2 linked regions of the Daphnia pulex genome follow. The protein of the gene in region 1 purifies or fractionates together with the protein of each later gene. This does not show direct contact. Links are inferred from orthologs where the notes say so. Each region holds a gene or a part of one and is shown in the gene's direction. Other genes may lie near its edges.

Region 1 (4,361 bases):
CCATAAGTGGAATCGTAATGTGAGAGTAGTTTGCTGTACATTGTAGGCACACCCATGAACAGAGTAGGCTTTTCCTCTTGACTCACGTTAGTATTTAAGAAATTTTCCCAAATTGCTTTCGAGTCGAATTTGGGCAACATAATACAACTGAAATTAAGCCGCTGAATTTAGTGTCGATAACAGTAAGTAATTTCATTTAAATTCGAATACCTGGCTCCTACATATAGGGGACACAGCAAAGCGTTTATAACACCATGAGTGTGATGAAGTGGAAGCGCATGAACGATGACGTCTTTTTTGGACCATTGCCATACTTCAATCAACATTCGTACCTGAGCATCGATGTTTTTATGACTCAGTAGAACTCCCTTGGGTTTGCCGGTGGTTCCACTAGTATACAGCATCATAGCATCAGAATTCTGATAAAATTCCATTGGCTTTGTGTCACAGAGAATGGATTTTAGTTGGGTGGGTGTAACATTTTGGTTGATGGTTTGTTGCCATGATTCTTCTAGAATTACAGATTTGGTATCCTGACCAACTGTTTCGTGGACAGCATTAAGCAATTGGGAATGACTTTGAGAAGCAATTATTAAGGCAGCATCACAGTCTTTGACATAGTAACCCAACAAAGATGGAGGATGAACCGGACTGAGTGGTACAGCTGCAATAGAAATAATCATTATTAGAGAACTTTATGTTTTGATATATGTTTTGATACCAATGTGCCCTGCCGCCCAACAGGCCCACTGAGATATAACATAGGTAGAGTCATTCGGACAGAGGAAGCCAATTCTTTCTTGATTTTTTTCTGGACCTATAGAACTTTTAATCATATTTGACAATTTAATGGCTTTAAGCAACACATCCAAATAGGTATGAGATCCATGGCTGTCTTTAATAGCAACTCGATTGAGATGTTGAAGAGCAATTCGATGTGCAGGAATGATACCACGATTTTCCATCGTGGATTGAATTCTGCCTGGAGGATCTGTATTACTGATAGAGTATGGTCTACTTCGAAGGGTTGAATTAAGTACACCGGATCTCAATGACTTTAGAAAAACAGAGAGCATCGTCATGTTATTCATCAGTCAAGTAATAAATCGTGAGATATCTTATCATCTATAAAGGTGTAATTCTGCACGTCGAGATAAAATTCGAATCTGATAAGAATATTAATAATCCTATGAAGTAACCTTGGAACTTGGAAGTCTGGATAGAGACAACTGATGTGTTTGTTTACAAAAAAAAAATACTTTATGTCGTCTGCTGTAGCTCCCGGCCTCTTTTCGCAAGTCAAAAAGACCAACAGGCTTGCACAATCGTTTGCAATCTTTTCTATAATCGTTTTAAATGTTATGTATATAAAGGGGAAAAAATCAAAACAATTACAATTGGGGTCCAACCACCCAATATTTTGTAATTAAATTATTTTCTAATTAGATGCTCCTCTATAATACTCGTGAAACGGCAACGTTGTCTAGACTGTCAACAAAAACTTGTTGTTGGAAATTTGTGTCCGGGAGTTACACTGAAAAGTGAAAACTGCGCGAAGAAACTGATTCTTCGGGATATTATAATTTGAAATACATTACGTGTGAAACGTTATTTTTTTGAATTATGAGTCGAAATCCCTCTTCCTCGGCAGTTCCAAATGCAGCTGGTCAGCCGGCTGGTGTAACACCATCAACCAGCACTCCATCTGCATCTGGTCTTGAAGTCCTTGGAATACCCGGAGGAACATTTCTCAGAGAAGCTTTGACTTCGTGTAGTGATCCTCTTCAAGCCATCGAAGAATTTCAAGTTGAAAATGGAATACTTCTACCTTCTTTAAGACCAATGATGCCACTTTTGGATTTACATGGAGTAAAGCGGCTTGATTTCCACATATCTGTCATGGAGGTTGTTTACATGAAAAGATTTAAAACACACTTAGTTTTCAATTATTTTTATGCTTTTAGGCACTTCGTGATAAGCTTTTGGCCCAAATTGCTGATTTAGGTAATGCATCTTTAATTATTTTAAAATCAGTTTTATTTTACATTAACTATCTTCAGGCCAAAAAGAAGGAAAAGAGAAAGACAAGAAATTGAAAGAATTGTTGAACAAAAGCTTTCTTGTAGTTAAAACTAAAGCTCTAAGGCCAGTTGTTATGGCAGTTATGAAACACCTTTCTCATGTTGATGAAAAATACCTCAAAGTTTTGGTAATGTAATACATTTATTATTTGAATTCAGAATTTAATGAAATGATTGATCTCAGGTGAAAGACAAAGAACTTTATGATGATTGTGATACTGTGGTTAAGAGGCAAATGTGGAAAGGTATCCTCTTAGATAACATTTCAAATACAAGTATTATAACTTTTCATTCAAATTTTAGACAACCAATCCCTTTTTGGTGATGAGGTTTCACCTTTACTCAGTCAATATATCAAGGAAAAAGAACAACTTCTCTTTGATCAAAATAATCTGACAAATTTGTTTTTCCTACCATCTCCTAAGGTAAAATGAAATGGTATTAAATGGTCTTTGTGGCGCTGCGACAAAATATATACCTTTTTTATTGGTCAAGGAGAAAAATAAAAATCTTTCTTTCGATTCCCAGGTTCGCCGCCAAGGAGAAGTGGTCCAGAAGCTAGCGCATATGATCGGAAATAACGTTCGGCTGTACGATATGGTTTTGCAGTTCTTACGAACATTATTTTTACGTACTCGTAACGTTCATTATTGTACATTGCGTGCTGAACTGCTTATGGCTCTACATGAGACGGAAGTGCAAGAAATTACAAACGTTGATCCATGTCACAAGTTCACCTGGTGCGTGGATGCTTGCATAAGGGAACGTAATGTCGACACCAAACGTTCTCGAGAGATTCAAGCGTTTCTCGACGGTATAAAAAGTGGCCAGGAACAAGTTCTTGGAGATCTGTCTATGATGCTGTGCGATCCCTATGCCGTCCATTTCTTAGCTACGTCATCGTTGAAGATTTTGCACAACCTTGTTGCATCAGAAAGTTTGCCTCGAGAACACCATATTTTACTTTTATTGTTACGGATGCTTGCGCTTGGTTTAAGCGCATGGCAGATGATCGATTCTCAGGTAGGACGAAGATTCAAAACAACCATTATTCCTTTATTAATTTCAGTAATCTTGTGCAGGAATTTCGGGAACCACGGCTTGATTCTCAAGTTGTCACGAAATTTCTTCCGGCTCTCATGTCGCTAATGGTGGATGATCAAGTCCGATCTCTAAACTCGAAATTACCCAGTGATGAACGTGAATCAGCTTTGACCATTATCGAACATTCAGGTACATGTAACCATTACTGTGAAGTTTCAAGGCACGTTTACTTAATGCTTCTAATAATAGGACCTCCACCCGATGCATTCCAAGCATACATATCTGAAAGTAGTGTACCTTGTGTTCTAGCAATGTATTACACTCTCCAGGTATTATTTATACTATATGTGAATAATGGCATTTATTACTGTCATTCCTCGGATTTAGGTGGCAAGAAGTAGAGACAAAGTGGCTTTAACTCGTGTTTTGGGCACGCTTGCTGTTGGTCACGGCGAACGATCATTCGAAGATCCTTTCCTTCACACTTTGGTAATATCCTATTTTACCTATTAGATCATTAAAGTAAATAACTTTATAATTGGAAAATAGGTTGCCCATCTGATTCCAATGCAGGATGAATTTGTCAATGAAATGTTTTGCACAGTTGTTTTTGATGAATTTTTTTTCACATCAATTGGCAAGGAGAATGTTGTCAGACATTTAACAAAACTTGTGTGGTATGTTCATCATAAGCTACCTGCTGCTAGACTTGATACCTTAATGAAAGCACTTCAACCAAATCCTCAATCCCCTGAAATCATGCATCAGGTAAAAATATTATTATATTGGCATAGAAAAAAAAGAAAATGTCCATAAATGTGCTTTGCCTTTAGGTCTATAAGCAACTGGAGCAAAGAATTGAATCATACCAGCTGAACCCATCATCTATGACTCAAGGAGTCCACAATGATGACTCTGTGTTGATGATGAATGTACCTACTCCAATGTCAATGTAGAATAAAACAGTGTATTGGTCAGGCTTACAAACAAGATTTAATGATGATTTATTGATAATAGAGCTCCAAATTCATCCCATCATGAATCTCATCTACAAGAAGAGAATAAAACTTAGTCAATATGGAGTAGCCATAAAAAAACATCAAATTCAAAAACTACTTACAGTCCTCCAGTTTGATGTGATCCTTGTAAATAGTGTACCATTTTTTTAGAACAATCTTCTCCCATCTGGTACCTGTTTGCGCAGCAATCAATTTTTTCAAATCTCCAATTGTGTCG
Region 2 (4,429 bases), on another chromosome or scaffold:
GGCCCTTTTATTTTTTTGAGGCCAGATTTTTGTGCTTTTCAAATGTCAAAATGTTGTCTCCCCCAAAACGGTTATTACATAATAGATTCTCGACTGCTGAGCCAGCAGAGTCGTTCCATTTTGGGTCTTTTTTTAAATTTAATCTGATGCTGGGCTCCTTTTGTTCAGCACTTAATTAACCACACGGACATCAGAGCGACTGAATTTCCTATTAAGAGATTCTATCGTAGCCGGAACTGTCCTAACCCAACCAGACGATATAAGGAAGAACGTCGGAAATAGATGACTTTGTTTTTCAACGTTTTTTTTGTTTTTTAATAAGCTTTTTATTTATAGAAAACTGATGTGACGTTGAAGGGGAGATGGGTGTGTAACATACATTTAAGATGAGAGCACATATTGGAGTTGAGTATTGAAATAAGTCACGGAAGGTGGTTTGGATTTGGGTGCATTACACGCTCGCACTTCATTGCGCTAATAATACTGCTGGGCCCTAATTGGACCAACGATCCTTATTAGGGGTTAATCGTGCGAATTGACCGACACAACTTCGGGCTTTCGGAGCACCGAGACCCAACTAGTAGTGAGACACCGGGAGATTTTATGGGTTACGAACTTAATGATAGGTACTACATAGTACTTAATTGAATCAAGGCGCCTGAAATCAGTTGGCGAGTTTGGAAGTGAGACATTGTATTGATTAACTGTATACACTTCATCCGTGTTGCGTTTGCGTTACATGTTGTTTGATACTTGCACTGAGTCTTAAACGGAATCAGCGTCAAGTTTGAAATTTAAAAGAAAACAAAATATTTCTATTCTAAAATGCAGGTTAGTTCTAAAGAGAAACTCGATCGCGCGCAACGAAAGATCAGATTATAACAATGGAATTTTTAATTTGTTTTCCGACTAATTCGTTATACAATTACGGTCGACATGGTAGAGCGTTGAGTACTTTTAGGACCATTCGATCACTCGACACACAATAGTTTCGACAAGAAACTATATTTACAGCTTTAGAAATGGCACATCATTTACTTAGGTCGATTAAGCGACCTCCTGACGAGTGATTCACGTCCGTTATTTGGTTGTTCGATAACGAATCATTGTAGTCTAGTCAGCCGAGTTGAACAGCAGCAACGTTTCCCAACAACGCGGTTTTGGTAAAATAAAAAAAAAGAAAAAGTCCATTCATCGCAACGCAAACAAACGCTTGTACTCAACGACAGATAATTCCGCTTGGGGAAAACCATTTTGTATTTTCTTTTTTCTTTTCTACGACCGCCATTCACAAGTCACAGCACAGCATCCCATCGAGAAACGTGACTAATAACAATATATGGCATCGTTGTGATATTTTCATCTTTGATTTTCCCGCGACCGTTTCCATCGGTCGTTCAAAATACGTTTTTTTTTTTTTAAGTTTGGCCTAACAAGCAATCGTATCAGTGGCAACTAGCCCAAATTTGCGCAACGAAAAAGATAGAGGCAGGCATGCAGCGCCCCTAGCGGCCGTTAGTGGTAAAGTAAGTTTCGGTCTCATCCGAAACTACGCCACAGTGACGCTGTCTGCATCGACATTTTCTGGCTCACAGTGAAAAAGTTGTAAACAAGTAGTGGGAAATTGGTTTGTGGGCACTGTTCCGTTCGCTGTAAGAAACCTTGTGTTTGAGAAAAGCAAAGGAAGAAAAAAGAAAAACAGGGCGGAAAATGGCGTCCAACGTGAGAGACTCAGATACGTCACTTTGGCTTCATAATAAACTTGGTATCAGCACTGATTCCTGGGCAGGCGGCTCAATTTGTTCCCAACTCAATCCCGAAGTTTTGAAGAACATTCAAGAATGCTTTGTCGAGCTGCAAACACAAGTCAAACTCAAATTTCTACTATCATTCTTCCAGTTCTCAAGGAGGAACTTAGAAGAGGTCAGTGGCCTTCATATAGTTTGATTTCGTCTTTTTCTCCATCTTGTTTGTCATTTCACTTCGTAGATTCTGAAAAGTAATCGTTTTTTATTACTTGTATAGTGGAAGACAGAGTTGGAAGAAATTTTGGAAGTGGCTGTTGTTGATGGTGATCCGTGGGTAGCCATGGTTGCTGAAATCCTCAAAACATACCCAGCCACCGGAGCCCTCAACATGGAAATTGGCTCTGCCACCGATGAATACACAAGAAAAATCTTCAACGATCTTGCAAATGATTTGAGAAAACTTGGTAACTTGGCAAAAATCTAAATTCATTTCATCGTGGCTTTTTCGTAATGGTTTTGAACATAACTTACAGTGAAAAAGCATGGAGAAACTGGAATGCTTCCTTTAGAATGCCCCTATTTGAATAAAACAGCACTGTTCACTGTTGTCGGCCAGCAGGTAACGCTCATCTCGTTTCGCGCCAAAATGGAACCTGTTACATTATATGCGATTGACTCTGCTCTTTCAGTCCCACCCCATCAAACATTTCACATTAAAGAGGAAACCCAAGTCAGCGGCGCTGCGTGCCGAGCTTTTGCAGAAATCCACCGACGCCCAAAATAACTTGAAAAAGAATCCTGCTCCTACGGTACCACTGCGCTCACGAGGAATTCCAAGGAAGATGACGGACACGACACCATTGAAAGGCATTCCTAGCCGGCACATTGGAGGATTCGCTTCGCCACTTTCGCGCGTTGGGACGACGCCCACAAGTGTCGGTGCTCTAGGATCTTCTCCGTCCGCTGGTCCCAACCGTCCGTCTCCTCGCACGTTAGCTGGCAGAAAAGATGGCGGTATCAAATTGCTGGACATCAATGAGCAGCCGATCGGATTTGCTCAGGCGAAGAAAAGAAAACGACAACAAGGTAATACGTATCCAGCTATATTTATCGAATTGCTTGTTAACGCTGTTGCCTCTTTTCCCCCCGTAAAGAACTGGAAGCTGCCCAAAAAGCAGCCACCGAAACGACGGCTACCTCTACAAATCCGGCACAACCGCTTTCGGGCGAAGAATCAGAGACGGGCAGTGTCCCCGAAACTCCCGAAAAACCTACTCCAACGCCCGACTATGCAGCTGGCCTTCTTCCGAGCAACCCGCCTCCAACCCCGGCCGCCCCTGTCACTCCACTTGCCTCCACTTCTATCCCACCTCTTACGCCGTTGAAAGAGCCGCCTAGAATGGTAGCCGTCCGTCCGCCTACTACTCCTTCAATCAGTTCTCTACCTCCAGCTTCTCCTGCCCCACCTGCCCAAGTGGTACGCCTTGTCACAGCTCAAACGGCGGCTGCGACACCTGCTGTTGCTACTACGGTGCCCACCGTTTATCGGTTGGTTCAACCAGCTGCTGCTGCTGGGCAGCCTGTCGCAGTGGCGGCAGCAACTCCCAATCAACCGGCCGCTCCACCCAAAAAGAGTGTGGCACTCATGCTCACTGTAAGTTTTAATTGTCGTTGCAGTCATGGTGAATGATTCTTTGGTAATTCAACATTTGTTTTCTATAGCGCGAGCAAATGCAAGAAGCTCAAGAAATGTTCAAGAACGCCAACAAAGTCACACGACCGGAGAAAGCCCTTATCCTCGGATTCATGGCAGGCTCTCGGGGTAACTTTCATTGGAATGATGCTGTTTGAAAACAAAAGAAATGTTCATTCTTTACTTACTGATATTTCTAGAAAATCCTTGTCCACATCTGGGAAACATCGTCACCATCAAGTTGAGCGAGGATGAGGAGGTTGTGACGGCTACCGACGGTGTCACCACCACCAGGGTCGTCGAGACGCATTTCCAGATGAACTATGCAGCCGGCGAATGGAAACGCATCAAGAAAATGAGGAAAACGGAAGAAACTCCGGCGTCGGTCGCCACCGTCATGGCCACAGCGACGGGCTGAATAGGAAACGAATCTGGTTGCAGTAGAGAGAGAGAGAGAGGGACTTGAAAATTCTGTGTAAATAGCAGCAGGATGGATGTTACAAGACAGAGGCGAGGAGAAATGAGTGCGGATGAGAAAGTAAGCCCTTCCCTCTATCCCCTACCCACCGCGTTGTTCCGACTGTGGGGCACGGGATTTATTTTGTTTTGATATATTTCGGTGCCAAAGTCGATTCAACTTGTCCCTTCTTTCCAGTTCTGTTTTGCACATTACTATTCCTTTCCCTGTTTTTCTTCATTCCTATCGATTCGACTTGACTTTCAGTCCTTATCCTCTCCGTGTCGCCCGCATCTCACAAACCAAGCTGAAGCCTTAGAGGCGGCATACTGTTCAGTATCTCAGCATTTGAAAATTGTTCATTTTTTTTCTTTCTTTCAAAGTACAGTTTTCTTGTAGTTCTCATACACACAGATCCATGCATAACATGTTCATATCATTCAAAGCGAATAAAAAAAGCGATACTCTTTGTTAAGAAAAAAAAGAAGTATGTGTATTGAAATCGTTAACAGTCCCGGTCGCTATTGGTTT

What was found. Proteins that work in one complex are often made in the same cells at the same time.
Region 2: the proteins of negative elongation factor B-like (region 1) and negative elongation factor A-like purify together in Homo sapiens (affinity purification with mass spectrometry; 8 studies listed by BioGRID and IntAct, counting the BioPlex papers as one, with this or other methods). This does not show direct contact. The link is inferred for Daphnia pulex from reciprocal best matches to the Homo sapiens genes NELFB and NELFA.

The regions. Positions count from the first base shown.
Region 1 is NC_060017.1:4,644,513-4,648,873, forward strand, and holds negative elongation factor B-like, read left to right. Parts: upstream 1-1,470; 5' UTR 1,471-1,623; coding exon 1,624-1,905; intron 1,906-1,964; coding exon 1,965-2,004; intron 2,005-2,060; coding exon 2,061-2,209; intron 2,210-2,265; coding exon 2,266-2,326; intron 2,327-2,384; coding exon 2,385-2,506; intron 2,507-2,609; coding exon 2,610-3,104; intron 3,105-3,163; coding exon 3,164-3,314; intron 3,315-3,374; coding exon 3,375-3,454; intron 3,455-3,512; coding exon 3,513-3,614; intron 3,615-3,674; coding exon 3,675-3,893; intron 3,894-3,958; coding exon 3,959-4,081; 3' UTR 4,082-4,112; downstream 4,113-4,361. Other genes in the region: malonate--CoA ligase ACSF3, mitochondrial-like, read right to left, coding at 1-147, 211-664, 722-1,091. UniProt on the Homo sapiens protein: Essential component of the NELF complex, a complex that negatively regulates the elongation of transcription by RNA polymerase II.
Region 2 is NC_060020.1:1,900,503-1,904,931, reverse strand, and holds negative elongation factor A-like, read left to right. Parts: upstream 1-1,553; 5' UTR 1,554-1,710; coding exon 1,711-1,923; intron 1,924-2,025; coding exon 2,026-2,212; intron 2,213-2,281; coding exon 2,282-2,367; intron 2,368-2,437; coding exon 2,438-2,834; intron 2,835-2,902; coding exon 2,903-3,402; intron 3,403-3,470; coding exon 3,471-3,570; intron 3,571-3,641; coding exon 3,642-3,859; 3' UTR 3,860-4,324; downstream 4,325-4,429. UniProt on the Homo sapiens protein: Essential component of the NELF complex, a complex that negatively regulates the elongation of transcription by RNA polymerase II.